2 linked regions of the Lonchura striata genome follow. The protein of the gene in region 1 binds, or shares a complex with, the protein of each later gene. Links are inferred from orthologs where the notes say so. Each region holds a gene or a part of one and is shown in the gene's direction. Other genes may lie near its edges.

Region 1 (15,176 bases):
AATCTCAAATGTATTTTGTCTGTCTTTATTTTCTCATCTAGCTCTAATGTTCCTGCTGCCTTTTAAGGACTATCAAAATGCTTACAAAGTGCTGAATCACAGTTGGTGACCTCTCCATTCAATCCTCACTTGCTGGATTTGCTAGTCTTTGTATATTTCCCCACTTATATTGGACAGTAGCTCTTGGAACAGCCATGATTTTACATCTTTAGTCTGACTCAAGTCCCTGCTTAAAATCTAGCTGCTGCAATACTCAGAAGAGTTTGCCAGCAGCTGCAGAGCTGGTGTGCTAAGACTAGTGTCTACCACACAAGCAGATACTAATGTTTGTTCCTTTTGGTTTTCACCTCTCTTATTTCCCTATTGTCCATTTTTTACTACTTAATTTATAGGATCTTTGTGACAAGACTATCTTTTCATTTGGCCTTTGTACAGCACCAAGCACAAGGCAGCTTAAATTTAATTAAGGATCTCAGATACTATAATAATGACAACCACTCTCAATCAAATCACCTTTTACAGAATAACAGTGAAGTCATTTTAGAATCAGGAACTAGTCAGATTTTAGTTTCAGTACATAAAGAGATTTTTTTTTCTTAATTTTAAATAAACTTTCAAGTCCTCAGACTCAGAAACATTCCTTGGTCTCCCATGCTTTTGAAAGAGTCTTCTGCCTTCCCATTGAAGAAGCTAGGGGCTTAATACTTGCTCTGATATTAGTGCTCTTTCTTCACCTCTTTCATCTGACATCAGACAACATATCTAGTTAGTCACACGTATAGAAATATTGCTCTGACTGAACAATGAAGTCCCAGCTATTAATAACAGAGAGAAAGATGAGGTTTAATAACTTTTTCCTTCCCTTTCCCTTTCCCTTTCCCTTTCCCTTTCCTTTCCTTTCCTTTCCTTTCCTTTCCTTTCCTTTCCTTTCCTTTCCTTTCCTTTCCTTTCCTTTCCTTTCCTTTCCTTTCCTTTCCCTTTCCCTTTCCCTTTCCCTTTCCCTTTCCCTTTCCCTTTCCCTTTCCCTTTCCCTTTCCCTTTCCCTTTCCCTTTCCCTTTCCCTTTCCCTTTCCCTTTCCCTTTCCCTTTCCCTTTCCCTTTCCCTTTCCCTTTCCCTTTCCCTTTCCCTTTCCCTTTCCCTTTCCCTTTCCCTTTCCCTTTCCCTTTCCCTTTCCCTTTCCCTTTTCTTCTATCTGGTTTAGTCAACTTTAACTACTCTCTATTTTTTACAACCAACTCAACAGCAGTTTAAAGAAAAGGATGTGGCTTTTAAATAACTCATTTCACAACAGTACTGTTACAAAGTATTACCGTAACAAATGCAATAATGCTTTGAAATGTCTGTCTTCCAAGATAGTGAGCCTTTATGTTCAGAGTACAATCACAGTCATCTTATAAATGTGTCTCATAGAATAATGGACCCCACAGTAATGTAGGCAAACAGCACTACAGGCAAGTACCTTTAAGTCCAGGTCAATAAATGGTTGGAATACTGCTGACAAGCCACTTAAGGAATAGTCTACTTCAACCAAATCATCAATCTGCTTTGCAGCTGTAAGGGTGGTAGATAAGACACAGAACATTACAAAAACCACAGAAATAATTGTATGTATGCTTAAAACTAAGTCAGTTTCTGAAAGAGAATGTCACAAATTATTCCAGAGAGTAGGGGAAAACACAACCAGGGACCTCCTAATATGCATTCTGACCTAAGATTTGATATTTCTATTGAGACTTTCTGTAAAGCACCTTCTCTAATTTGTCTATTGTTTTTTCATTGTGGAAAGTAAGTTTGGTCTAACCCAAAAAAGGAGATGGCCATGTCATTGCCTCAGGGCATAAGGAGGTGTTGGGATTTCTTGTCAATAGTTTTACGAGCATCCCAAGTACCTGTAACTTGCAAGTACAGGAGGGTGCCTGATCTGCTTAAATACCTGTGTTTTGCATAAGGTATCTGACCAGCACTTGGGGTGTCTTAAATGCCTGCAAATCTAACCCAAAGTGGTTCAAGTGAGAAGGTTTTTGCAAAGGAGCTTTTTCATTTTGTCTCTGGCAAGTCTGATAAATAGGCAAGTAAAACTTAATTTCCAGGCAGGCTAGGAGAACAGGCTTCAGCTTGTAAAGTGCTGTGTGTGCAGGAAGACTTTGAGCATGGTACGGGAAAACTGCCTCAGCATCAGCACTGTGTGGCCTCAAAGTGGCATTTCTCACAACAGAAGGGCACACTGCCACATTTGCAAGTTGAGAATTGCTACCAAGTCCTTGGCTCTCAGAAACACATATTTTTTGCTCAAATAGCCCAGCCTTTATTTAACTGTGGTTCTGTATGCAAGGGAGCAGATGGAGCAGAGGGATTCATATCACTCATGGAGAAATTGCTAAGCAGCTAATGTTAAGGAAGCGGCAGAATTCCACTGATCGGAAGAGAGAAAACAGAAGGAAAAGGTACCACTAATGACTCACCATTCAGTGATCAGAGGTCTCCATCTATCAACTGGATCCAAGCTCTGCTGTTGGGACATGACTACAATAAAAGCACTCTCAAGTTATGGCCTGATTAGTGTGGCTGTATAAGCACCTCTTCCATGTCAGATCTTTCTGCTGCACGACTCACATTGCAGCATTTGTTTATCAAAACACCTAATCTGTCTTCTCTTCAGCTAACTGGATCCCCAGTGTTTCTGCTTGGTGCAGTGTAAGCATGTTGTATTCACAGCTGCAAAAAAAAGGAGGGAAGTTTCCAGAGGCAGCCTGGTGGGGGTGACAAAACCACAGCCTTTAATAGTGCAAGGACAAATATTATACTGGTCTCAGAATCGTGGAGTCATTTAGGTTGGAAAAGACCCTTAAGATCTATCCCTGGACAGAATGACAGCCATCTCAAGCTCTGTTTCCTCTCAGTGGCCCTGGGAGGCTGTCACCAGAACTACTGACCCCTTTGCCACAATGAAGCTGAAATGTCATACTATCAGTTGATATACTATAATTTCTCTCTGTGTCGCTCAGTAGATGTTTTTTCTGCCTAGCATAAAAATGACCCAAGCCCCAGGATGCTTGTATGTACACAGGCAGGGATTTATTCTGCATTGGAATGGAAAAATAACAGCATTTTCCATCCCTACTGCTGCCTTGACTGAATGTATCTGTGTCAGTATCTTGACTATGAACCTGTCACTTTTTCTGGAATCATTTCTTCCTGGAAAAATGATGACTGTGCTGATCAGACCAGAATAGGACTATTACAGGATTATTTTTCTAATTCTTCCTTTGCCACGTTCACAGCACTGACTTGTGAATGCTGTCCTCCTTACACCCCTCCCCTACACAATGTGAAAGGCTTACATTAGTGACCAAGCCCCTGTGAATGGGTTTCTTCAGATACTTGATAAAGAAGTTATCCAGGAAGTTAGAGGGAAGGAAGAAGGCAATTAATGGGTCAAGTACTATGGTCATTAAGAGGAGATCAGATATTTCTGCAGAACATGAATTTAATGGCCTCTTAGTATTATATTCTAGTACACATGGGAGCTTTTTGAAATGTAAAAACTGTCAGAGAGCCACCATTTAAAAAATTATAATTTCAACACTATGTATCTCAGCCTGGGTTAATTAATATTTATGGAAAATGGATTTCTTCATAGGACCACCATCTTATATGTACAAAATAGTCTCTGCATGAGTAACTTCCAAAACAAGTAAAAACTAACAAAAATTTGTTTGATGCCAAAACTTTGGTTCCTTTTGGGAAAAGAAATGAAATCTTGTGAAACAGAAAAGAAAGTCTCCTAAGTCTCCTAAAGACTCTGGAAAGGAGATATGATCAAGTGAAATGCGATTGAGAAAATAAAAAAGGAAAATTGGGAAATGCAGTGACCACAAGAAAATGGTCTGGGAGCAAATGATGTGCAGTGGAAAGGAGCAAAATATGCCAAAACTAATCTCAGAGATGCTGCAAGATCAGGGGGAAAATCAAGGAGGAAGAGAGAACACTGAGGGGAAAATATGAGTGAAATGGTATAGATACTGAAAAAAAAAAAAAAAAATCTTCACCAAAGTGAAATCCATCCAAAGGCATGGGATGCCATGAAGTGCAGGGCCATGGACCAAAGCTGCCAAACTGATCCCCATTGAAATCACAAGATTTTGTTTCCTTTCCTGAAAGGTAGAGGTGAGCAGGCTTCAGCAGGGTGAACCCTTGTGCATCACCAGAGTGTAACAGGGAAAGACAGATGAAAGGTAGGATCACCCCCACTCTGGAGACAGCCTGAGAGAACAGGGTTTTTTTTAGTCTGGAGAAGAACAGGCTCCAGGAAGACCTTAGAGCGCCTTCCAGGTCCTAAAGGCGGCAACCAGAAAGCTGGAGATGGAATTTTTACAGGGTTTGTAGTGATAAGACAAACAGGAATGTATCTTCAGATTGACAGAGGGGAGGTTCAGATTAAACATTAAGTAGGAATTCTTCACTGTAAGGATGGTGACGCTCTGGAACCGGTTTCCCAGAGAAGCTGTGGGTGTCTCATCCCTGAAGTGTTCAAGGCCAGGTTGGATGAGCCTTTGGGCACTCTATTCTAGTGAAAGGTGCCCCTGCCCATGATAGGGGAGCTGGAACAAGATGATATTTAGGGTCTCTTCCAACACAAACCATTCTATAATACTATCAGATTTTAATAATGAATTTCAGTTTTTATGTTTGGAAAGAGGCTGAGGACAACCCCTTTTTCTGGGGGAGGTTTGGACCTGGTGACCACCTAGTGTGCCCACCACAACTATTTGATTCCAGTGATTTGTCACAGCACTTCAAATCCATTTTCTAAGCTTGATTAGCAGCAGCATGTTTTATTTTGTGTAGAATGTGATACACAAGCACCATCTAGAGGTTATAAAGGAGATGATGAAGACTATAGCTGACTACAGCAATAGCTGACAGCTGTATTATAGGAGGAAAAAAAATTTAAGGTTCCCCATGACTCAAATACTGCTGCTGAAGTGGCATTAACCCTTAGGGTTAATAGTTATAACAATTATTCTCACTTTTGTTGCCTCTGGGATTTGCATATTTTTGCCTGGCTCTTCTTGCTTTCCTTTCCCTCTCCCCATTTCGTGATGATAGCGAGAGGATGAAGGGGAATAAAGAAGAACCAATTAAACCAGAAAAATGCATCACCTGAATTTCAAAGAAGAGACTGAAAATTCCATGCAGTCAGGACTGTTCTTTAAATGGGGAAATCTTTAGAAGAAAATAACTGCTGATTACCCAGCAGCTTCAGGTATGTTTCTGATATAGAGCATTAGAGAGAAATAAGAGGACTCTCTTGTACTGCATCACTTGGCTGATGAGGATTAAACCTGCTTCACTGTACTTACTGTAGGCCCTGCAGCATAAAAACAAATCATTTTCATTCAGAGAGCTTGTTTTCTCATATTCTATATGTATGGGTTCCTATCCACCCTATTACTGTGACAATGGAGTGACTATCAATAGGAACACCATTGGGAGCTATGAAAGTTCCTAAATGTTTGTCTCTAAGATTATTGTTTTAAAGGTTGCAATTTTTAATCTGAGTGTTTGGGGAGGGAAGGGTTGCCACAAGAAGCCTGGCAGTTTCCCTATTGGGAAACACATCTAAAATTAGCTCTGATACTGCTTGGTTGTTTTATAAAAGCCATGAAATTGTTGGTGCCTGAGGAGGAGAAAGATGACATCCTGCAGAAGTAATGCCTGAGTAATTCATGAGTTGGGCTGATCCAGAATGATGGTTCAGCACTGGGAAGGAAGCTGGGAAGGATAGCTGGATTTTGCAGGATGACCCAGGTCTTTCTGACACCTCACACTGAACTGGCCAGGGCTGGAGCCAGCTTGTAATGTTGGGGAAAGCTCAGTACCTCTCCAGATCCCAGCTTCAGACAGGAAAGCAATTCCCTTCCTCTTGAAATACTACTACTGCTACTGCAAGCTTCTTCCCCTGGGAAACCACCCTCATCCTAATGAGGAGGGGGCAGTTCCTGGGAAGGAGAACAGGAGCCCAGAAGGTGCACGGGTCCTTTCCTCCCTTCCTGAGCTGTTAGTCATTTGTTCCCCAGTATCCATGTACAGAGAAAGGACAGAGGAGCAAGAGAGAGGAGGGATGATGCAAAGCAAAGCAGCTCTGGGTTACTCACAATTGCTGAGTGTGGGCACAGTGAAAGAGAAGCCTATCCTGCCTGAAACTCCATGCTGTGAATGGCAGCTGGATGCTCCTTATCAGGAGCTAGAATGAGCTGCTGCAGCAAAAGCTGAAATCACTCACTTGCAAAATGTGAGTTGGTGACTTCTTTGAAGAGCTACAGGTGTACAGGGAGATTAAGAAGAAATCTGATTTCTTTTTCTTTCTGATATTGCCTGGTTTGAGGGAGACAAAAGTGGGTAACTATTGATGGAACTGCTATTTTTACTTAAGAGTATTACACTGCTCTCACAGTCAAGTGGAAATCACCTCTTTCTCTAAAAAAAAAAAAAAAAAAAAAAATGGGTGCATTGTGTGAGTATGTAGAAAATGAAGAAATTGGCTGGTGTAGTGCTCAAAAGAACTTCCTTCCCTCAAACTGTGGACTCCCATCCACATCTGCTGCTGTGCTGGAAGTAGAAGCAGGTGAATTACCTGGCTGCAGAGGACTTGGTGGGCAGGGGCTATTCAGATGGCTGCTGGGACAGCCAACTTCCCAGATAACAAGAGAAATTCTGTATTACACCAGTATATCCTTATCCTGTCATTAAACCACATGGGACAGCATGGTCCTTATATGTTTGGGACCATCTAACAAGCCTGGCTGGCAAATATACATCTTTCCATCATTGCCCAGGTCCCTCTCCCCCTGCTTAATTGAATCATTGCTGGTTCAGTCTCTTTCTGGCTTTGTTCCCTTCTGTTCATGTCATTTACTGTTTGTCTCAGTCTTAACCCTCATTTCACCACAGATACTCTAAGAAAACTCTGGCAGCTCTGACTGAGCAGAGCAGCCAGGTAAGAGTCTTGCACACACTTGGTTTTGATTGCTGTCCAGCAGAGGTTCTCAGCCGCCAGCAGATTCCACTGTGGTAGAGATAGCTAAGAAAAGCAATTATATGTCAAATTTTCAACCCAGCTCAAACTTCTGCATCTGCTGGAAAATAGCTAGAGCAGAAGTGTTCACAAACCAAAACTGTGAGTGGAAACCATTGCTTTGAACTGACTCTGGTTTCCTGTAACCCTGACTCTCGTAAAACCAGAGAAATCTGACCTGTGGCAGCTGTACAGACTCAAGGCACTGCATGGAGCCAAAGAAACACTTTTTGAGTAGCTCTATGGCTCCCAGATCCCTCACATTAGGATGCAACACAGCCGATTAAACTCCAGGTGGTGAGGTGCTGTTGTCTCCTGGTCCAGGAGATGGCCTTGCCTGTGAGATAACTCAGCAGTGCTTAACAAATCTAAACAGCTGAGCAAAACCATCCTCCAATGCCACTCTGTGTCCTCCTCGAGCTTCAGCACAGCCATGCTGGAGACCTATGCTAGGCTAAAAGCACACCCTCAATTGAGTGCATGTAACATTACTGGTTCTGCTTCCAGCTTTCCATGTGTGATTGATTTCCCATATACTGCTAGAAATTCCAATATTCTCTTTATAAAGAGAGCCTTTCTGACTCATAGGGGACAGGAGGCATCTTCAAAGAACAGTGAAGCTGGACTGTGCCTTCCAGGTTTGGACAACTGGGCTGTCCTCTTGCGTGGCCATGATCTACACAGACATGTGCTGCTCAGACCATTAGTGACTAACTTCAAATAGATTTTGGGGGCTTCCTCTGCTACACTGGGAACGGAATGGGCAATGCTTAGCTCTTTTTCCTGTTTAATGACAATGGCTTCTCATGAACTGTGCAAGTAGGACCTGTTCTGAGCTTAGGAAGAGGAATAATAAATGATGAAAGTGCAAAACTAGCAAGCAAACGGACAGTGATACACAATGGTTTGGAGAATCATGCACCAGCAATGAAGGAAAACTCCCCACCACACCTCAGCAAATGGTACTGCCAGTAATTTTAGGTTGTTTAAGCATCTTCAAGAAATAATGTTCATTTTAGTCAGATAGGATGGCTCCAAAGCACTGTTTCATGCATCCAGGACTTGGAAAACTCTGCAGAAAGAGGTGCCACTGTGGGCGGTGGGTGCAGCATGAAGGGCTCCCGGCCTCTGTGTGCTGCCCAGGGAACACTGCCTGGCACCAGCACATCCTGAGTCAGACTTAAAATATGAAACAAATGGTTTGAATTCTCCCTCAGAGAGTTGCTGTTCTATGCGGGTGCCAGCAGCAGCATTTCAGCCATTCTTGGCAGCCAACTCACTGCAAAAACAGAGACTCTCTCTCCCCCCACACCACAGATAGGTGTTTCGGGAAGCTTGGGGGGAACCTCACTGTTTGTGGTTTGGGCTGTGCCGGGAGTGCAGGTGGGTCCACACCAGCAGTGGCAAAACATGTGCTGTGGTGACCACCAGCAAATCAGGCTCTAAGTGATCTCTGTTACTTGCGATGTTCAAAGTTGTAACAAGGTGACAACACAGGTACAGACATACCATAGTGGGATTCGAGACACATATTTTCCCTTCCTTTTTGTTTGTCTGTTTGTTGTTGTTTTTTTTTTGGGGGGGGGGGTGTTTTGTTTTTTTTTATTTTTTTTCCCTAAACTTAGAAAATTTATTGGGGGGGGGGTTGTTTTGTTTTTTTATTTTTTTCCCTAAACTTAGAGAATTTATATGGATAGTTCTGGCTTTTACACGGAAAATACCAGCTTTCTTGAATTGATGCGTACATGTGGCAATAGGATCACCAGCAGGTGTGAAGCTGTTGAGGCGCCCAGTGAGGCAGCGATGCTCCTGCACGGGGCAGCGAGCTGGAGGCACGGGAGGGGAAGCTGCTCGGACCGCGGCTGCCGGCACAGAGCCACTCGAGCCAAGGCGGGGGTGCGGCGGGGCTGAGCAGCGGCGTGGCACCGGGCGGAGCGGAGGGCTGACGGGCGGGGCTGGACGCGCCGTGCCGGGCCGGGCCGTTCTGTGCCGGGCCGGGCGGGGCGGCGATGGCGGGGATGGCGGAGGCGCTGGCGAAGGAGCGGGCGGCGGCGGCGGGCGCGGGGCGGCACGGCCGCGCTGTGCCCTACCTGGGGCAGCGCTTCGGGACCCTGCGCCAGGAGTGCCTGCAGGAGGGGCGGCTCTTCCAGGACCCCTCCTTCCCCGCCGGCCCCACCGCCCTCGGCTACCGGGAGCTGGGGCCCCGCTCGCACAAGACACAGGGCGTCGTCTGGCGCAGACCCACGGTAGGGCGGCGGGGGATGGGGGGGCTCCCCGGTAGCATCGTTCTGCAGTATCACCCGGCTTCCTCCTTCCCTCGCTCCGTGAATTTGGGTGGATTGGATGGTGCGGGGGCGGCGGGTCGGGGCGCGGCTGCCGAGCGCGGTGCGAGCCCTCCCGTCCTGCAGCATCGCGCCCGTCTGGTGCAGCTGCGGATGCTCGGGGCACCGGAGGATCCCCTTTGCTCTGGCGACAGCCTGGCAGCGTGACTTGCTCTGCCTGGAAAACAAGTCAGAAAAGTCATTTTCCTCTCCATCCAGAACTCTCCGTGTGGACAAACCGCTTTGGGTAGCGCTTGGGGCTGTCTTTTCTGATAACTCTTTCCTTCAGCAGAGCCGTGAGTTGACCACCGTGTGGTTTATTCCCGAAGCAGCCCTGCCAGCCATGGGAGCCATGGGATCAGGAGGACTCCAGGGTGCCTCCAGGCACTTCTGAAGGACCTTGGTGTAGTCAGTGGTGGGGAGGTAATGGCAGAGCAGCGTGTGCACATGTGTGGAAATGCAGTGCACCTCCTGGCACGTCCTGTGAAGTGAGCTGGCCGCACACGAGCTTTGGTCACCAGCTCCCGTTCTCACTGTGCTTGGTGTGTGTGGTGCCCGCACCCGCTCCTGCCCTGCTCCATCTCTGTGGTGTTCATCTCCCGTGGTCAATGGTTTGGTTAATTTGCTGCAAGTGTGGCCTTGTTCCCTGCCTCACCTGTGGCTACGTGTAATGCAAGGCCTGTTTTGTTCCCAGGAGCTGTTTCCCAACCCCCAGTTCATAGCCGGCGGAGCCACTCGCACGGACATCTGCCAAGGGGCCCTAGGTAAGGTGGGGGCAGAAACCTGAGTTTTCCATGCAGGTGCTGCCCCAGGGCAACATGGTTTACGCATGGCTGTAACTCACTCTAATACCTCCTTTTGCATCCTACCACCTCCATTCATTTCAAATCAGACCTTTCTCATGTTTCCTTGGCATTTGCAGGTGGGGACCATGAGTGTGGTTACTGAGCACAGTCTTTCTGCATGCACCAAGCAGGGGTGGGACACACTGGTTTCCTGATGGTTTTTCTGATCATATCCTGTTCCTTTCACATTCAAATCCATATGCCTGAGAGTAGCCTGACTCATTTCTGCCTTTAACAGTCTGCTTGGAAGAGCAGTTGTGTGTGTAGCATGACTTCTCTTTCCCCAGTGGGAGAGAATTCTGCTGGGCAGGAGGAATCTCCTGAAATCTGGGGAGATGCTGTAGATAGAAAAGTTGTATGGGGGTCACCGGCTCTTGAGGAAGACAAAACTTGGGTGTTTCAGGAGGAATGGGCCAGCCTGTGATTTGTTACGTGAGGAGGAGACACCTGCATCCAAACAGCAGCTGGGAGATCCAGTGCTGTTTACACCCCAGTGTTGTGATACCATGGTGACATCCACTCCAGAAAAAGGTGGCTAAGGGTGAACCAGGCTTCTCTGGCTTTGGAACCTCCCCTCAGCTGTAATGAGTCACTACATCCCATGTGCTGCCATTTGGAGCCAAATACCATCACTGACTTTGCAGATCTGATACTGCAAAACCAACTCCAAATACTCTCCTTCAAAAGCTTCTCCTAAGGAAAAAACAACAGACCAAAAACAACAGACCAAAACCAAAAAACTTCACAAGGCCAGAATAAAGGATAATCCAAATCCCAAGGGGAAGAATTTGGTGCCTGGAAAACCTTTTCTGCACTGATGATCAGCTTTGCCTTACATGGATCACAGTTTCTTATAGTCCAGGTGAAACACAATTAAACAAATTTATGCACCTGGCCAAAGATTACTGAGCTGAAAGAAACCCTGCTCATTAGCTGAACTGTTTGGTTACACATTTCCTGCCAAGAAGCTGCCCTGCAGATGTGATGAGTCCATGTGCTCTGGATGCCCCATCTCTCCCTGCAGTACTCCCAGATGATCTGAAGGGCTCAGCAACAGCAGTGAAACTCCCCATGGGCACAGGTCTGTTGCTTCTTGATCAAGCCTTTGAGGGATTAGACTGCAAAAGCTTCCTATAGAAAAGAAGCAGTATAATAAAAAGCACAGGTTTCCAAAAGCACCTGATATCTTCCAATGAAATCTTCTCTATAACATCCTAAAATGTGATGGGACATGGACACTAAAAGTAAATACAAAGATCAAGTAAATGCAAGCTTAGGCAAATTTATCAATACAAATGCTAGTGTCAGATAAGGCAGTTGAAAAAAAAAAAAGAATTTGTACAGTGCATTTGCCAGCCCCATTGTGTGAAAGAACAGAGATTCCATCCAGGCTCTTAGGAACTCAGTGGCTATACAGAGAAAAGATCAAAAGCATCTAATTTTTAATCAACAGTTGTCACACAAGACCAAAATCCTGCCCAGATTCATGAGAAGACAGCCAGGAGAGTCACTGCAGTACTTAGAGACAGTGAAAGAGGAAATATAAACAAGAACACTGACAACCTCTGATTCAGATATACTCAGGAGGTACAAAAATACCAGCTGTGAGTCACTTCATATCCTCTGGTGATACCATACAACCCCATGGGAACATCTGACTGGTCCAAAGACCACTAGGGCAGCAAATGCTTTCATCAATTTAAAAACAGTGTCTGGTATTAGCAACAGCAATTTCACAACTTGAAAACGAAGCTTCAAATCTTTCATTCCTATGCTCTTGCTGCCACAGCATCTGCAGAGAAAAGCTAGAAAACCAGAAAGCATCTAAGTGATTCCAGAAACCAGCATCTCTACAGAAATGCCAGATGTTGACATGGCATTACAGTAAACTTTAATTTCAATCTGAAGAACTTTTTACCAGAAAGCTTCACAATTAAAAGAGATAACAGATGTCTGGTACATGTGTTTAAGCACTGGGACATGCTTCATGCCAAAACAGTCATGACAGGAGACGTGGTATTGGATGGAGAGAGCACAGGAAGGAAGCTGGTGACATGGTAACAACCCAAGGCACAACAGAGTCTAACCCACACCACCAAAGATATCGGGGCAGGAGGAGAACTGAGTTCATAATCTAAGTAGTTTTACTGTCATGGATTTTTTATACAAATTGCATCTGGTTGTCAAAGCACTAACTTAAAAAACATCTGAATGAAAACATAGGCATAAAATATAAGTTTCTCTGCCTGTTACATTTTTGGACATGAACCTACAAATAGCGGCAGTGGGACTAAAAACTAAGAAGATGTAATGTGATGAATATCTGAAAGCAAACAAACAGAATTTGGTTCCTTTGCCAAGTGCAGCAGCACAACACAGCTCATATTAGTCATGTTTCCCACATGAGACTTTCCCTCAAACACATTATCTGTCTAATCCAAACCCCTCTCACTCACTACAGCTGTGGAGTAGGAGCCTACTGCTTTCACTTCACTTTACTTCTCCTCATATCTCTGGGACATCCTCCACCTAAACTCCTTCTGTCAAGCAAGACAAGAGAGAGGCTTCCAGACTGTGCACTCACAACTAGGCTAAGCCATTTGATCCCCACTGTCCCCTGGCACATCCCTGCAGCTCCCAGATCTTCCCCGGAGAGCCCCGCCAAGGAGTTGCCATTGCACAAACTGAGCAGAAGCCTTGGCAAAAGCAGAGGGCTCACAGGCTGGCCCATTGTAAAAAAATAACAAATTGAATAGGTTGAATTTGAAAATCAGACCCTTGGTTTCCTCATGCTGACAGCCACTCTACTGCCAGTGGGTTGCCACAGCCTCATGTTTGTAACCAGAAAACATTCTGGAGTGCTGTGGTATTAATATAAATACATTCAGTAGCTGTTCATCTAAGAGTGTTTTAAAATAATGATGAGTCTGTGATTGGCAGAATGTACATTTTTCCTTTTACCCCATACTCTTGCATGAGCTGTGCAGTGTCCAGAGGAGCTGCCTTTTGCTTACACGCCTTCAGGCATTTTGATGGGTGTATTTTGTTTGCCTTTTCTTTCCAGAATGGCTAATTTTAAGCTCTTACAGCTATTTATGCTTACCTTGCAATTACTTTTTTTTTTCCTAGTGTTCTTGTTACCGCTGGAGATTAGGTAAATGCAGGCATGGGTATATGGAAATAACAAGTAAAACACTGAAAGCAGGAAAAAGTAAGCATGATAGGACAAAAAAATAGTACTTCTTGTTAATATGTGTTATTGATAAACTCACAGCCTGAGAATACTCCCTTTTCTGATAACCTTGTCCTGCCCACTGTTCATTTACAAAAATTATTTATGATAAATGTAGCCTTGCTAACACTCCTTTCAGGCTCTAAACAACTGTCTGTCAGCCTCTCCTTGGGCTTTCCTTCCCTATCAGAGGAAAATCACTGTCAAGAACCTTGCAGAAGCACCAGTTCTGGATGTTCAGGCTATTTGGTAAAGACCTTGCTCAAGCTTGCTTAGTGGTAAGATTCCAGGTATAATCATTAGATCTGTTCTCATCTGGAGTCTGGATTATCAGGTGTGCTTTTTGTGAACAGTGATGGCTGTTCACAAAGGTAGAGATTATATCCTGGCTGTTGGGCACTTTTAAGTGTGGAAACCAAAGGTTGTCTTCCATATATGCTGCAGCTGCCTTTAAACCTCAAGACCTTGCCCAGAGCTGTCAGAGTTAAGATTTGTGTTTTACTTCAAATTCTTGTTAGAAGCCAGTATAAAGTTCAACAGAGATTTTACAACATGCTGTAATTTCAGTCTGCCTTGATGAGACAGCTAGAAAGCAAAGGAAATTCTTTATAAATTCTCCTTGTGGGTGTGGTGGTCCTCTGAAGGGTGTTTCTCCTTGAATTTCCATGCTTCTTACCTCCAGAGGAAGCATGACTCAAAGATGTGTTGCAGCATTGAAGTGTATGTTCATCATCTGGAGGCCTGATCAGCTTCTTGACCAAGCCTTCCTGAGCTGCTGTGGCCATTTGAGTGGTCCATTTGTTCTTCCTGTGCTGCTCCCTGCCTGCCCAGCCCCTGCCCTGGGTATGGAATAAAATACTAATTTTTCTTGAGAAGAATGGTGTGACAGCTGCCCTCTGAGCCAGACTCTTTCCTCCTGGCCTTGTCTTTCTCAGCAAACACCTTTGCAGTACATAGTGCTACCTCTGCATGCAGCTCCCAGGGAAGAGGTTCTCAGCTCCTTGGAGGAGGCTGTGAGAGGAGTCACCACTTTGCAGGGCAAAGTGGATGTGCTGTGACAGAATAGGGAGGGGAATTGCATCATTGCTTCGTAGTCTGTCGCAGGAGAATAGCAAGGTGACTTTCTTGTTTAGAAACTTGTCTGACATGCTGATTTTTCCATTGCAGTACAAGCAGACAGAGGCGGGGCTGAAGGGGAAGTTTTATGCTCGGTTCTTCCCCTCCAGGTTGTGAAGCAGTATAAGCATTTTAGGTTTTGAAATTACTCTGCAATTTCACCTCTTCCACCTTTCCTGAGGTGTGAGAAGATGTGTGGGACAGATGTATTTCTCAGAGCTGACCTGGGAGGCAGCTGTGCCAAGCGAGGGCAGCCTGGAGGGAGCTGCAGGTTGTCCATGTTCCTGCTGGTGTTGTGTGAGCACTGATGGATTTGGGCCTGAGGGTGGACCTCGAGGACTGCTTTAGGGTTCATTCACCCTGAGACTTTGTCCCATTTGGATCCCCTCTTCTCACCCATAAGCTTTTGAGCCTTTTTCTAGGGGAGAGAGGTAGGGACTGCTGCTTTGCTGGCCTCTAGCTTGCTGACAGCAAGGTGGTGGCAGGTTCACACATTGAAGCTGCAGTCCTGCAGGGCTGTTTTGTGGGATCTCATGTACAATACCAGCTGCCCTCTGTTCACAAAGCAAGGGAACAGCGGATC
Region 2 (14,608 bases), on another chromosome or scaffold:
CCCCATGTCCCCCATGTCCCCCCATGTCCCCATGTCCCCATGTCCCCCATGTCCCCGTGTCCCCCGTGTCCCCGTGTCCCCATGTCCCCATGTCCCCCCTGTGTCCCCGTGTCCCCATGTCACCCCATGTCCCCCCATGTCCCCCGTGTCCCTGTGTCCCCATGTCCCCGTGTCCCCCCATGTCCCCCCATGTCCCCATGTCCCCCCATGTCCCCCATGTCCCCCCATGTCCCCCGTGTCCCTGTGTCCCCGTGTCCCCATGTCCCCCATGTCCCCCCATGTCCCCCATGTCCCCCCATGTCCCCGTGTCCCCATGTCCCCCGTGTCCCCCCATGTCCCCCATGTCCCCTGTGTCCCCCGTGTCCCCCATGTCCCCCATGTCCCCTGTGTCCCCCGTGTCCCCCATGTCCCCCGTGTCCCCGTGTCCCCGCAGTGTCACAGCCCAAACGCTTCCCGGCCGTGCGGACCCCCAAGGACATCACATCCGAGAGCTCCTTCTCCAGGTGGGGACAGGGACAGGTCCACCGCCGGGTGGCTTTGTCCCCGGGGTGTGGCTTTGTCCCCACGCTGTCCCCAGAGGTGGCCCTGTCCCCATGAGGTGTCCCTGGGGGTGGACCTGTCCTTGCTGGGGCGTCCCCAGGGGTGTCCTCAGCGATGTCCCCATGTCCCCAGGGATGTCCCCATGTCCCCATGGGTGTCCCCATGGGTATCCCCAGGGATATCCCCATGTCCCCGTGTCCCCGTGTCCCCAGGGATGTCCCAGGGGTGTCCCCATGTCCCCGTGTCCCCAGGGACGTCCCTGGGACGTCCCCATGTCCCCATGGGTGTCCCCAGGGTTGTCCCCAGGGATGTCCCAGGGATGTCCCCATGTCCCGGTGTCCCCATGGGTGTCCCCAGGGGTGTCCCCATGGGTGTCCCCAGGGATGTCCCCATGTCCGCGTGTCCCCATGTCCCCAGGGATGTCCCCATGTCCCCAGGGTTGTCCCCAGGGATGTCCCAGGGATGTCCCCCTGTCCCCGTGTCCCCATGGGTGTCCCCATGGGTGTCCCCATGGATGTCCCCATGTCCCCATGTCCTCAGGGGTGTCCCCAGGGATGTCCCCGTGTCCCCAGGGGTGTCCCCAGGGATGTCCCCATGTCCCCATGGGTGTCCCCATGGGTGTCCCCAGGGGTGTCCCCGTGTCCCCGTGTCCCCATGGGTGTCCCCAGGGGTGTCCCAGGGGTGTCCCCATGTCCCCATGGGTGTCCCCAGGGGTGTCCCAGGGGTGTCCCCATGGGTGTCCCCACGTCCCCGTGTCCCCGTGTCCCCAGGGATGTCCCCATGTCCCCAGGGGTGTCCCCAGGGATGTCCCCATGTCCCCATGGGTGTCCCAGGGGTGTCCCCATGGGTGTCCCCACCTCCCCATGGGTGTCCCAGGGGTGTCCCCATGGGTGTCCCCAGGGATGTCCCCCTGTCCCCGTGTCCCCATGGGTGTCCCAGGGGTGTCCCCAGGGATGTCCCCATGTCCCCATGGGTGTCCCCAGGGATGTCCCCAGGGATGTCCCCCTGTCCCCGTGTCCCCATGGGTGTCCCCATGGGTGTCCCCATGTCCCCATGGGTGTCCCCATGGGTGTCCCCATGTCCCCATGGGTGTCCCAGGGGTGTCCCAGGGGTGTCCCCAGGGGTGTCCCCATGTCCCCATGTCCCCATGGGTGTCCCCATGGGTGTCCCCGTGTCCCCAGGCTGCTGTTCTGCTGCTGGTTCCCGTGGATGCTCCGGGCGGAGATGCAATCCTAACCCCCCCCGCCCCTCCCCCCCCCACCGCCCCTCCCCCACCCAGTGCCTTGGAGCCCCTCCCCCACCCGCCCCATCCCCCCCCGTCCCCCCCTGTCCCCTCCCCCTCCTCCCGGGCTGTTCCTTCTGGAACATTCCGCACTGGGGGAGGGGCGTTGGGCGTGGCCCCTCCCCCAAATTTGGGCCCAAACCTGCCAATAACAGCGATGGGGGAGGGGCCAGACCCCCCAAAACCCCAAATTTGGGCCCAAACCTGCCAATAAGAGCGATGGGGGTGGGGCCAGACCCCCCAAAACCCCAAATTTGGGCCCAAACCTGCCAATAAGAGCGATGGGGGTGGGGCCAGACCCCCCAAAACCCAAAATTTGGGCCCAAACCTGCCAATAACAGCGATGGGGTGGGGCCAGACCCCCCAAAACCCAAAATTTGGGCCCAAACCTGCCAATAACAGCGATGGGGGAGGGGCCAGACCCCCCAAAACCCCCCAGACCCCCCAAAACCCCAAATTTGGGCCCAAACCTGCCAATAACAGCGATGGGGGAGGGGCCAGACCCCCCAAAACCCCCCAGACCCCCCAAACCCCCAAATTTGGGCCCAAACCTGCCAATAACAGCGATGGGGGAGGGGCCAGACCCCCCAAAACCCCCCAGACCCCCCAAACCCCCAAATTTGGGCCCAAACCTGCCAATAACAGCGATGGGGGAGGGGCCAGACCCCCCAAAACCCCAAATTCGGGGGTCTTCACTCTGGAATCTATCAATTAAATAATTAATTAAGGGGGTTGAGGCCACGCCCCTTCCCGGGCCATTTTGGGGGTCCCAAATCCCAATTTTTGGGCTGTTCACTCCGGAATTTATCGATTATTTTTTTGGGGGGGGGATCCATGCCACGCCCACCACTCCCCAAATTTTTTTTGGTGAATCCACCCCCCCCCCCCAGTAAAATAATTAGGGCTGTTCTCTCCGGAATTAATGAATGAATGAATTAATTAACGTCGGGAATTGATGCCACGCCCCTTTCCCGGATAATATTTTGGGGATATCGATCAAAAAATATCAAAATTTTGATTTTTTTTTTTTTTTAGAATTTATTTATTTATTTTCTCCCCCCCTCCCGACCCCTCCCCAAAACCAGGGCCCGAGGTGGGGGAGGGGTCCCAGAGGGTCCCTCCTGGCCGCCCCTCCCCCACCCCCGCAGGAGCAATAACGCCCCTCCCCCACCCCCGCTCGTGTCAGTGGCTTTAATGTCCCCAAAAATGTCCCCAAAAATGTCCCCTCCCCCCAAAAAATGTCCCCTCCCCTCCCCCGCTGCCGCATGGGCCCCCCCGGAGCCGCTTCTGCCACCAATAAAATCCTTTGTACCGGAAAATTGGGGGAAATTCGGGGGGAAATGGGAAAATTGGGAGAAAATGGAAAAATTGGGGGAAATAATGGGAAAAAATTGGGAGAAAATGGCAAAATTTGGGGGGGGGGGAATGGAAAATAAATGGGGAAATGGGGAAATTTTGGGGGGAAATGGGGAAATTTTGGGGGGAATGGAAAAAAATGGGGAAATGGGGAAATTTTGGAAGGAATGGAAAAAATGGGGAAATGGGGAAATTTTGGGGGGAATGGAAAAAATGGGGAAATTGGGAAATTTTGGGGGGAAATGGGGAAATTTTGGGGGAAAATGGACACAAATGGGGAAATTTTGGGGGGAATGGAAAAAATGGGGAAATTGGGAAATTTTAGGGGGAAAATGGACAAAAATGGGGAAATTTTTTTGCGGAAATGGACACAAATGGGGAAATGGGGAAATTTTAAGGAGAAATGGAAAAAAACTGGGGAAATAGGGATATTTTGGGGAGAAAATGGACAAAAATGGGGAAATTTTGGGGGGGAAATGGACACAAATGGGGAAATGGGGAAATTTTGGGGAGAAATGGAAAAAAATGGGGAAATAGGGAAATTTTGGGGGGAATGGAAAAAATGGGGAAATTGGGAAATTTTGGGGGGAAATGGGGAAATTTTGGTGGAAATTGGACACAAATGGGGAAATTTTGGGGGGAATGGAAAAAATGGGGAAATGGGGAAATTTTGGGGGGAAAATGGACAAAAATGGGGAAATTTTGGGGGGAAATGGACACAAATGGGGAACTGGGGAAAGTTTGGGGGGAAATGGAAAAAAATGGGGAAATAGGGAAATTTTGGGGGGAATGGAAAAAATGGGGAAATTGGGAAATTTTGGGGGGAAATTTTGGGAAATTTTGGGGGGAAATTTTGGGAAATTTTGGGGGAAAATGGAAACAAATGGGGAAATTTTGGGGGAAATGGAAAAAATGGGGAAATTTTGGGGGGAAAATGGACAAAAATGGGGAAATTTTGGGGGGGAAATGGACACAAATGGGGAAATGGGGAAAGTTTGGGGAGAAATGGAAAAAAATGGGGAAATAGGGAAATTTTGGGGGGAATGGAAAAAAATGGGGAAATTGGGAAATCTTGGGGGGAAATGGGGAAATTTTGGGGGAAAATGGAAAAATTGGGGAAATTTTGGGGGAAAACGGAAAAATGGGGGGAAATTGGGAAAATAATGGGGGAAATTGTGGGGGGGAATTTGGAAAATAATGGGAGGAATAGGGAAAAATGGGGGAAATTGGGGAAATGGAGAAAAAAATTGGGAAAATGTGGGGGAAATGTGGAAAAATTGTGGGAAAAATGGGGAAAATGTGAGGAAAATTGGGGAAATTGGGGGGGAAAGGGTGAAAATGGGGGGAAATGGGGGAATTGGGGGGGAAATGGGTAAATAATGGGGGAAATGGGAAAAATGGGGGAATTTGTGGGGAAGTGCAGAAAATGGGAAGAAATGGGGATAATAATGGGGGAAATGGGGAAAAAATGGGAAAATAATGAGGGAAATTGGGGGAAAATTGGGGAAATGGAGGGAAATGGGGAAATAAATTGGGAAATTTGGGAGGGAAATGGGGGAAATGTGTGAAAATGGGGGGAAACAGGAGAAATGGGAGGAAAGGGGGAAAAATTAGGAAAAGAAAGGAGGAAAGTGGGGGAAAAATGGGGGAAAATGGGGGAAATGGAGAAAAAAATTGGGAATTGTGGGGGGGAAATGGGGGAAATAGGAGGGAAAATGGGGAAATGGGGGAAAAAGGGATTTTTTGGGGGAAAAATTTGGGATGGGGCGACACGGAGGGACCCTAAAACTGCTGAAGGACATGGGGGGAGGGGGAGACTTCAGAGTGGGGGAGGGGACCCCCCAAATTTGGGGGGAATTTTGGGGGGGGGGGGGGGGAACCCCAAAAAGTGGATGGGGGAGGACAAAATTGGGGGAGACCCCAAAAGTGAGGTGGGGGTGGGGGAGGGAACCCCCCAAAAAATTCCTCCCCCAAAAAATTCCTCCCCCAAAAAATTCCTCCCCCAAAAAATTCCTCCCCAAAAAAATTCCTCCCCCAAAAAATTCCCCCCCCAGCGCCGCCATCTTGTCCCGGCGCGCGGCGGTGACGTCACGCCGTGACTCATTTGGTATTCACCGTTAATCTGCATAACCCCGCCCTGTGGGGCGGGCCCGACTGTCAATCACGCGTCTGGCCACGCCCACTCTGATGGGCGCTAAGGGGCGTTGCTGTCAATCAAGGAGTTAGCCACGCCCCCCATGTTAACCCCGCCTATTAGAGGAGATATGAACGTCTAGGCCACGCCCCCGCCCCTGGCCACGCCCAGGGCGCGCCCCCATTGGTCCCTCCCACCGAGGCCACGCCCCCGGGCGGCTCCCCGGCCACGCCCCCCCCGCGTGGCCCCGCCCCTTTCCCCGTTCCGGTTCCGCGCTCGCTCCGGACCGGCGCCGCTCCCGCAGGTACCGAACCCCCCCCACCCCCCCGGGACCCCCCCGGGACCCCTCGGGACCCCCCGGGACCCTCCCGGTGCTCTCCTCCCCCCCCCCCCAAACCGTGACTCAGCGCGGCCCCGCCCAGTCCCGGAAAGCCGCGCCCGGGAGCGGCACCGGAGCGGGACCGGAGCCCGGGGAGGGGTCCCGGGGGGTCCCGGGAGGGTCTGGGGGGTCCCCGGAACCCCCCCGGTACCCCGGGTGTCGCCTAACGGTGCTGTCTGCTTCTCTTCCAGCCGCTCCCAGTGCTCCCAGTGCCGCCCCGGTGCCCCCCCAGTAACTCCCGGTGCCCCCCAGTAACTCCCGGTGCCCCCCAGTAACTCCCGGTGCCCCCCAGTACCCCCCAGTACCTCCCAGTGCCCCCCAGTACCTCCCAGTAGCTCCCAGTGCCCTCCCAGTACCTCCCAGTAGCTCCCAGTGCCCTCCCAGTACCTCCCAGTAGCTCCCAGTGCCCTCCCAGTAGCTCCCAGTGCCTCCCAGTGCCTCCCAGTACCTCCCAGTGCCCTCCCAGTAGCTCCCAGTGCCCCCCAGCGCTCTCCCAGTGCCCCCCAGCGCTCTCCCAGTACCCCCCAGTACCTCCCAGTACCCCCCAGTAGCTCCCAGTGCCCTCCCAGTACCTCCCAGTAGCTCCCAGTGCCCCCCAGTACCTCCCAGTAGCTCCCAGTGCCCCCCAGTACCTCCCAGTGCCTCCCAGTAACTCCCAGTGCCCTCCCAGTACCCCCCAGTAGCTCCCAGTACCCCCCAGTAGCTCCCAGTGCCCTCCCAGTACCTCCCAGTAGCTCCCAGTGCCCCCCAGTACCTCCCAGTGCCTCCCAGTAACTCCCAGTGCCCTCCCAGTAGCTCCCAGTGCCCCCCAGTACCTCCCAGTGCCTCCCAGTAGCTCCCAGTCCGGCATGTTCCTGGTGAAGGGGCTGCTGGGGGGCGGGGGCGGTGGGGGGGGGTCCGGGGGGGCCTCCCGGGGGGCATCGGCTCCGTCCTGGGGGGGCTCCTGAGCGGGGGGGCGGCGGCGGCGCCGGGGGGGCCATGGGGGTCCTGGGGGGCGTCATCAGCGCCATCAGGTGAGGGGACAGCGGGGGACACGGGGGCTGGGGACACTGGGGGGGCTGGGGACATTGGGGACACTGGGAGGATTGGGGACACTGGGGACATTGGGGGGGCTGGGGACATTGGGGGGACATTGGGGACACTGGGGGTATTGGGGACACTGGGGGGACATTGGGGACATTGGGGTGGGGGTCCTGGGGGGCGTCATCAGCGCCATCAGGTGAGGGGACAGCGGGGGACACGGGGGTTGGGGACATTGGGGGGGCTGGGGACATTGGGGGGATTGGGGACACTGGGGGGACATTGGGGGGACATTGGGTTGGGGGTCCTGGGGGGCGTCATCAGTGCCATCAGGTGAGGGGACAGCGGGGGACACGGGGGCTGGGGACATTGGGGACACTGGGAGGATTGGGGACACTGGGGACATTGGGGGCGTTGGGGACACTGGGGGGACATTGGGGGGACATTGGGTTGGGGGTCCTGGGGGGCGTCATCAGTGCCATCAGGTGAGGGGACAGCGGGGGACACGGGGGCTGGGGACATTGGGGGGACATTGGGGGGACATTGGGGGGACATTGGGGGGATTGAGGACACTGGGGGGGCATTGGGGACATTTGAGGACATTGGGGGGATTGGGGACACTGGGGGGACATTGGGGACATGGGGGGCATTGGGGACATTTGAGGACATTGGGGACACTGGGGGGGTTGGAGGGATTGGGGACATTGGGGGGGACACTGACGGCTACTGGGGGTTGGGGACATTGGGGGGACATTTTGGGGTGGCAGGTGACACTTTTGGGGGGGCAGGTGACATTTTGGGGTGACCCCCTCTGCCCACCCCCCCACAGCGAAGCCGCCGCCCACTACAACCCCGAGCCCCCCGTAAGTGACCCCCGCCCCCTCCCTCCCTGGGGACCCTCGGGGTGTCCCCTGACTCCCCCACCCCGGATTTGGGGTCCCCTGACCCCCCACCCCGGATTTGGGGTCCCCTGACCCCCCCACCCCGGATTTGGGGTCCCCTGTCCCACTCACCCCGGATTTGGGGTCCCCTGACCCCCCCAACCCCGGATTTGGGGTCCCCTGACCCCCCCGACCCCGGATTTGGGGTCCCCTGTCCCCCCCCACCCCGGATTTGGGGTCCCCTGTCTCCCTTCCGTGTCCCCCTCCCAGATTTGGGGTCCTCTATCCCCCCCCCGGGTTTGGGGTCCAGGCTTTGGGGTTCCCTGACCCCGTTTTTGGGGTTCCCTGACCCCGTTTTTGGGGTTCCCTGACCCCAGATTTGGGGTGCCCTGCCCCCCGTTTTCGGGGTGCCCTGACGCCGTTTTTGGGGTGCCCTGACCCCCCGTTTCCGGGGTGTCCTGACCCCGTTTTTGGGGTGCCCTGACCCCGTTTCCGGGGTGCCCTGACCCCATTTTTGGGGTGCCCTGACCCCCATTTTTGGGGTGCCCTGACCCCGTTTCCGGGGTGCCCTGACCCCATTTTTGGGGTGCCCTGACCCCCATTTTTGGGGTGCCCTGACCCCGTTTCCGGGGTGCCCTGACCCCCATTTTTGGGGTTCCCTGACCCCGTTTCCGGGGTGCCCTGACCCCATTTTTGGGGTTCCCTGACCCCGTTTTCGGGTTGCCCTGACCCCTTTTTCGGGGTGCCCTGAGCCCGTTTTCGGGGTGCCCTGACCCCGTTTTTGGGGTTCCCTGACCCCGTTTTCGGGGTGCCCTGACCCCCCGTTTTCGGGGTGCCCTGACCCCCCGTTTTCGGGGTGCCCTGACCCCGTTTTCGGGGTGCCCGCAGCCCCCCCGTGCCCACATCTCCACGGTCGATGCCAACGAGAGCGAGGAGGTTCGGCAGTTCCGGCGCCTCTTCACGCAGCTGGCGGGGGAGGTGAGGGACCCCCGGGACCCCCGGGACCCCCGACCCCCGACCTCCAGCACCCCCAACCCCCGGGAGCCCCGACCCCGGGACCCCCGGGACCCCCAACCCTTGGGACCCCGGGACCCCCAGAATCCCCAGGACCCCCGACCCCAGAGACCCCCGGGAGCCCCGACCCCTGGAACCCCGGGACCGCCAACCCCCTGGACCCCCAACCCTTGGGACCCCGGGACCCCCGACCCCGGGACCCCTGGGACCCCCGACCCTGGGACCCCCGACCCTGGGACCCCCGACCCTGGGACGCCTGACCCTGGGACCCCCGGGACCCCCGACCCTGGGACCCACAGGACCCCCGGGACCCCCGACCTCCAGCACCCCCAACCCCTGGGACCCCCGACCCCTGGGACCCCTGACCCCTGGGACCCCCGACCCCGAGACCCCTGGGACCCCCAACCCCTGACCTCCAACACCCCCGACCCCAGGACCCCCAAACCCCGGGACCCCCGACCCCTGGGACCCCTGGGACACCCGACCCCCGACCTCCAGCACCCCCAACCCCCGGGACCCCCGGGACCCCCAGATCCGTGGGGGTGCACTGGGGTGTACTGGGGTACACTGGGATCCACCTGATCCCTTGAAACCTCTTGGTTGGGGTCAGAATCTGGGGGAACCCCCAAGGTTTGGGGGTCCCCCAAGATTCGGGGTCAGGATTTGGGGGTACCCCCAGGATTCGGGGTCAGGATTTGGGGGTCCCCAGACTTTGCGGAGACGGGTCAGGATTTGGGGTCAGGATTTTGGGGTTTTTGGAGGTCAGGATTTGGGAGTCTTCAGACTTTAAGGGGATCAGGGTCTGGGGGTTCCCCCAGGATTCGGGGTCAGGATTTTGGGGGTTCCCCCAAGAATTCGAGGGTTCCCCCAGGCTTTCGGGGGCTCCCCCAGGATTTCGGGGGTTCCCCCAAGATTTTGGGGCTCCGCAGCCCCCCCTGACCCCCCGTTCCCCCCAGGACATGGAGGTGAGCCCCACCGAGCTGATGAACATCCTCAACAGGGTCGTCACCCGCCGTGAGTGCCCCCCAAAAACCCCCGGGGGCTTGGGGGGGGATTTTGGGGTGCCCTCGGGGCTCGGGGGGGATTTTGGGGTGCCCTCGGGGCTCCCTGCTGGGCTCTGGGACTCGGGGCCCCCCCAAAATCCCCCGTGGTCCCCCCAGATCCCGACCTGAAGACCGACGGCTTCGGGCTGGACACGTGCCGGAGCATGGTGGCCGTCATGGACGTACCCCGGGATTTTGGGGGGATTTTGGGGGATTTTGGGGGGATTTTGGGGGGATTTGGGGGATCCTCCAGAGGTTTTGGGGTGCGGGGAAATGGGGGGGGTCCCCGGTGCCCCCCAAAATGTCCTTGACGAGCCCCCCCAGAGCGACACCACCGGGAAATTGGGGTTTGAGGAGTTCAAGTACCTCTGGAACAACATCAAGAAGTGGCAGGTGAGGACCCCAAAATTTTTTTGGGGAGGTCCCGAAATCGGGGTGGGGGGACCCCAAAAATATGGGGTGGGAGGCCGAAGTTGGACGGGATCCCAAAATTGGGGTGCTCAGGGTGAAAAGAGACCCCGAAATGGAGGGAGAAGGCAAAATTTGGGGGGATCCTAAAATAAACGAGCCCCAAAATCGAGGAAAATCCAAAATTGGGGGGGGGCCACCCCAAAAATGGGGATGGGGGCCCCAAAACTGGGGTGGGCATCCCAAAATCCAGGGTTACTCCAAGCTGGGGGAGATCCCAAAATTAGGAGGAGACCCAAAAATTAGGGGGACACCCCAAAAAATGTGACCCCCCCCAAAAAAAAAAATAGATGTGGGAGCCCAGAATCAGGGACACCCCAAAATCGAGGGAGGAACCCAAAAAACCGGGGGGTGGGACCCCAAAATTTCCCCTCTTAAATCCCAGCCCCCCTAAAAACCATGAGGGGGGGTTGTAGGGGACCCCCCAAACACCCCAAAATTTTGGGGGGGGGTGGGGTAATTAGGTAATTAGGGGGGGCAGGCACCCCTAAAATTTGGAACTGAGGATTTTTTAAGTTCTTTAAAGGGGGATGGGGGGAGGATTTTTGGGGTTTGGGAGGGGCGGGGGGAGGAATTTTGGGGTTTGGGAAGGTCCCCGAGTTTTGGGGAGGGGGTGAGGCGGATTTTGGGGGTGCGGGACCCCCCAAAATTGGTGCCCAAAATTTGTACACCCCCAGTGCGTGTACAAACAATTCGACAGCGATCGCTCGGGCACCATCGGGCCCCAGGAGCTGCCGGGGGCCTTCGAGGCCGCAGGTTGGGGATTTTTGGGGGGATTTTGGGGGATTTTGGGTTTTTTTGGGGGGAAGGAATTTGGGGGGGCTGGCGGGAAGAGGTTTCGGGGTGCAGGAAATGGAAATGGGGGAGTTTTGGGGGGTTTTTTAGGGGTGAGGGTTGGAATTAATGAGGGGTGGCAGCAAAATCATCAGGGATTGCCAAAATCCAGCCCCCCGGGGGTGACCCCAAATTCCTCTGGGAACCCCAAAATTTCCCCTGGGGTGACCCCAAATTCCTCTGGGATCCCCAAAATTTCCCCGGGTGACCCCAAATTCCCCTGGGATCCCCAAAATTTCCCCGGGTGACCCCAAATTCCTCTGGGAACCCCAGAATTCCCCCAGGGTGACCCCAAATTCCCCTGGGAACCCCAAAATTCACCCAGGGTGACCCTAAATTCCTCTGGGACTCCCAATGTCATCCTTGGAACCCCAAAATTCCCCTGGGAACCCCAAAATTCACCCAGGGTGACCCCAAATTCCTCTGGGAACCCAAAATTCCCCCAGGGTGACCCTAAATTCCCCTGGGACCCCCAAAGTCATCCTTGGAACCCCAAAATTCCCCTGGGAACCCCAAAAATTCCCCCAGGGTGACCCCAAATTCCCCTGGGAACCCCAAAAATTCCCCTGGGGTGACCCCAAATTCCCCTGGGACTCCCAAAGTCATCCTTGGAACCCCAAAATTCTCCTGGGGAACCCCAAAAATTCCCCTGGGGTGACCCCAAAATTCCTCTGGGAACCCCAAAATTTCCCCCTGGGGTGACCCCAAATTCCCCTGGGACTCCCAAAGTCATCCTTGGAACCCCAAAATTCTCCTGGGAACCCCAAAAATTCCCCCAGGGTGACCCCAAATTCCCCTGGGACTCCCAATGTCATCCTTGGAACCCCAAAATTCTCCTGGGAACCCCAAAAATCCCCCTGGGGTGACCCCAAATTCCTCTGGGATCCCCAAAATCCCCCTGGGGTGACCCCAAATTCCCCATGGGACCCCCAAAATCCCCCTGGAATTACCCCAAACCCTCCAGGAACCCCAAAATCCCCCAAGATTTTGGGTTTTGGGGAGTCCAGGCTGGTTTTTTTTTGGGGGGGGGGGTCAGGGATATTTTGGGGGGAAGATTTGGGGCGGTTTGAAGGATTTGGGGTCGGGTCGCGATTATTTGGGGTGGAAACGGGGATATTTGGGGGGCAGTTTTTGGGGGGAATTGGGGAATTTTTGGGGGGTTTGAAGGCATTTTTTTGGGGGTCAAAGGTCACCTGTGGCCATCCCACCCCCCCCCCCCAGGGTTCCGGCTGCCCCCCCAACTTTGGGCGGTTTTGGGGCGTCGCTACGGGGACGAGGGGGGGAACCTGGACTTCGACAACTTCATCAGCTGCCTCGTGCGCCTGGACGCCATGTTCCGTAGGGAGACCCCGGAATTGGGGGAAAATCCCGAAATTGGGGCGAAATCCAAAAATCGGGGGGGAAAAATTCCAAAATTGGGGGGAAATCACAAAACTGGGGGGAAATAACAAAATTGGGGGGAAATCCAAAAATCGGGGGGAAATCCAAAAATCGGGGGGGGAAAAATTCAAAATTAGGGGGAAATCCAAAAATCGGGGGGGAAAAATTCCAAAATTGGGGGAAATCCAAAAATCGGGGGTGGGGGGGAAATAACAAAATTGGGGGAAATCACAAAATTGGGGGGAAATCACAAAACCGGGGGGGGGAAATCCCAAATTGGGGGGAAATCCAATAATCGGGGGGGAAAAATTCCAAAATTGGGGGGAAATCCAAAATCGGGGGGAAAAATCTCAAAATTGGAGGGAAATCCAAAAATCGGGGGGGAAATCCAAAAATCGGGGGGGAAATCCCAAATTGGGGGGAAATCCAAAAATCGGGGGGGGGGGGCGAAATTCCCAAAATTGGGGGGAAATCCCAAAATCGAGGGGGGAAAATTCCAAAATTGGGGGGAAATCACAAAACCGGGGGGGGAAATCCCAAATCGGGGGGAAATCAAATAATCGGGGGGAAGAATTCCAAAATTGGGGGGAAAATCCAAAAATCGGGGGGAAAAATTCCAAAATTGGGGGGGGGGGAAATTCCAAAAATCGGGGGGGAAAAATTCCAAAATTGGGGGGAAATCACAAAACCGGGGGGAAAATAACAAAATTGGGGGGAAATCCAAAAATCAGGGGGGAAATAACAAAATTGGGGGGAAATCCAAAAATCGAGGGGGAAAATTCCAAAATTGGGGTGAAATCCAAAATCGGGGGGGGGGAAATTCCAAAATCGGGGGGGAAAAATTCCAAAATTGGGGGAAATCTAAAAATTGGGGGGAAAAATTCCAAAATTGGGGGGAAATCCAAAAATCGGGGGGGAAAATTCCAAAATTAGGGTGAAATCCAAAAATCGGGGGAAATCCAAAAATCGGGGGGGAAAAATTCCAAAATTGGGGGGAAATCTAAAAATTGGGGGGAAAAATTCCAAAATTGGGGGGAAATCCAAAAATCGGGGGGGAAAAAACAAAATTGGGGTGGAATTCCAAAATTGGGGGAAATCCAAAAATCGGGGGGAAAAATTCCAAAATTGGGGGGAAATCCAAAATTCGGGGGGGAAATCTCAAAATCGGGGGGGAAAAATCTCAAATTGGAGGGAAATCCAAAAATCGGGGGGGAAAATTCAAAATTGGGGGGAAATCCAAAATCGGGGGGAAAATTCCAAAATTGGGGGGAAATCCAAAAATCGGGGGGAAATCTCAAAATCGGGGGGGGAAAAAATCTCAAAATTGGAGGGAAATCCAAAATCGGGGGGAAAATTCCAAAATTGGGGGAAATCCAAAAATCGGGGGGGAAATTCCAAAAATCGGGGGGGAAATCCAAAAATCGGGGGGGAAAAATCCAAAATTGGGGGGAAATCACAAAACCGGGGGGGAAATAACAAAATTGGGGGGAAATCCAAAAATCGGGGGGGAAAAATTCCAAAATTGGGGGGAAATCCAAAAATCGGAGGGGAAATAACAAAATTGGGGGAAATCCAAAAATCGGGGGGGAAAAATTCCAAAATTGGGGGGAAATCCAAAAATCGGGGGGAAAAAATTCCAAAATTGGGGGAAATCCAAAAATCGGGGGGGGGGAAATTCCAAAATTGGGGGGAAATCACAAAACCGGGGGGGGGAAATCCCAAATTGGGGGAAATCCAATAATCGGGGGGAAAAATTCCAAAATTGGGGGGGGGGGGGGAAATTCCAAAAATCGGGGGGAAAAATTCCAAAATTGGGGGGAAAAATTCCAAAATTGGGGGGAAATCCAAAATTGCCGGAGAAATCCAAAAATCGGGGGGGAAAAATCCCAAAATTAGGGGGAAATCCAAAAATTGCCGGAGAAATCCAAAAATCGGGGGGAAAAATCCCAAAATTAGGGGGAAATCACAAAACCAGGGGGAAAATAACAAATTGGGGGAAAAATTCCAAAATTGGGGGGAAATCCAAAAATCGGGGGGAAATCCAAAAAATCGGGGGTGAAAAATTCCAAAATTGGAGGGAAATCCAAAATCGGGGGGGAAATAACAAAATTGGGGGGAAAGCCAAAATCGGGGGGGGAAAATCCCAAAATTGGGGCGAAATCCCAAAATCGAGGGGGGAAAATTCCAAAATTGGGGGGAAATATCAAAATTGGGGGGAAATCACAAAACCGGGGTGGGGGAAATCCAAAATTGGGGGAAATCCCATAATCGGGGGGG

Evidence for each region.
Region 2: the proteins of calpain-2 catalytic subunit (region 1) and CAPNS1 are in contact, whole or in part, in a crystal structure (PDB 1KFU), measured with the Homo sapiens proteins. The link is inferred for Lonchura striata from reciprocal best matches to the Homo sapiens genes CAPN2 and CAPNS1. Residues at the interface, in NP_001739.3 of Homo sapiens: Ala2, Gly3, Ile4, Ala5, Lys7, Leu8, Ala9, Arg12, Glu13, Glu16, Phe60, Arg366, Arg416, Arg417, Arg418, Arg420, Asp494, Ile516, Phe551, Glu575, Lys578, Val581, Asp582, Asp585, Gly588, Ser589, Gly590, Gln641, Leu642, Gln644; in NP_001003962.1 of Homo sapiens: Thr85, His86, Ser88, Asp111, Asp112, Met113, Glu114, Ser116, Thr118, Asp142, Arg145, Ser146, Ala149, Val150, Met151, Asp152, Ser153, Asp154, Thr155, Thr156, Gly157, Gly160, Phe161, Glu163, Asn206, His208, Leu209, Met212, Ile213, Arg215.

The regions. Positions count from the first base shown.
Region 1 is NC_134607.1:21,346,211-21,361,386, forward strand, and holds the start of calpain-2 catalytic subunit, read left to right. Parts: upstream 1-9,088; coding exon 9,089-9,325; intron 9,326-10,094; coding exon 10,095-10,164; intron 10,165-15,176. UniProt on the Homo sapiens protein: Calcium-regulated non-lysosomal thiol-protease which catalyzes limited proteolysis of substrates involved in cytoskeletal remodeling and signal transduction. Proteolytically cleaves MYOC at 'Arg-226'.
Region 2 is NW_027461156.1:29,157-43,764, forward strand, and holds the start of CAPNS1 (calpain small subunit 1), read left to right. Parts: upstream 1-6,656; 5' UTR 6,657-6,669; coding exon 6,670-6,704; intron 6,705-7,540; coding exon 7,541-7,574; intron 7,575-8,480; coding exon 8,481-8,570; intron 8,571-9,562; coding exon 9,563-9,620; intron 9,621-9,766; coding exon 9,767-9,831; intron 9,832-9,973; coding exon 9,974-10,042; intron 10,043-10,794; coding exon 10,795-10,873; intron 10,874-12,172; coding exon 12,173-12,289; intron 12,290-14,608. Other genes in the region: CLIP3 (CAP-Gly domain-containing linker protein 3), read left to right, coding at 434-503, 1,722-1,776. UniProt on the Homo sapiens protein: Regulatory subunit of the calcium-regulated non-lysosomal thiol-protease which catalyzes limited proteolysis of substrates involved in cytoskeletal remodeling and signal transduction. Essential for embryonic development.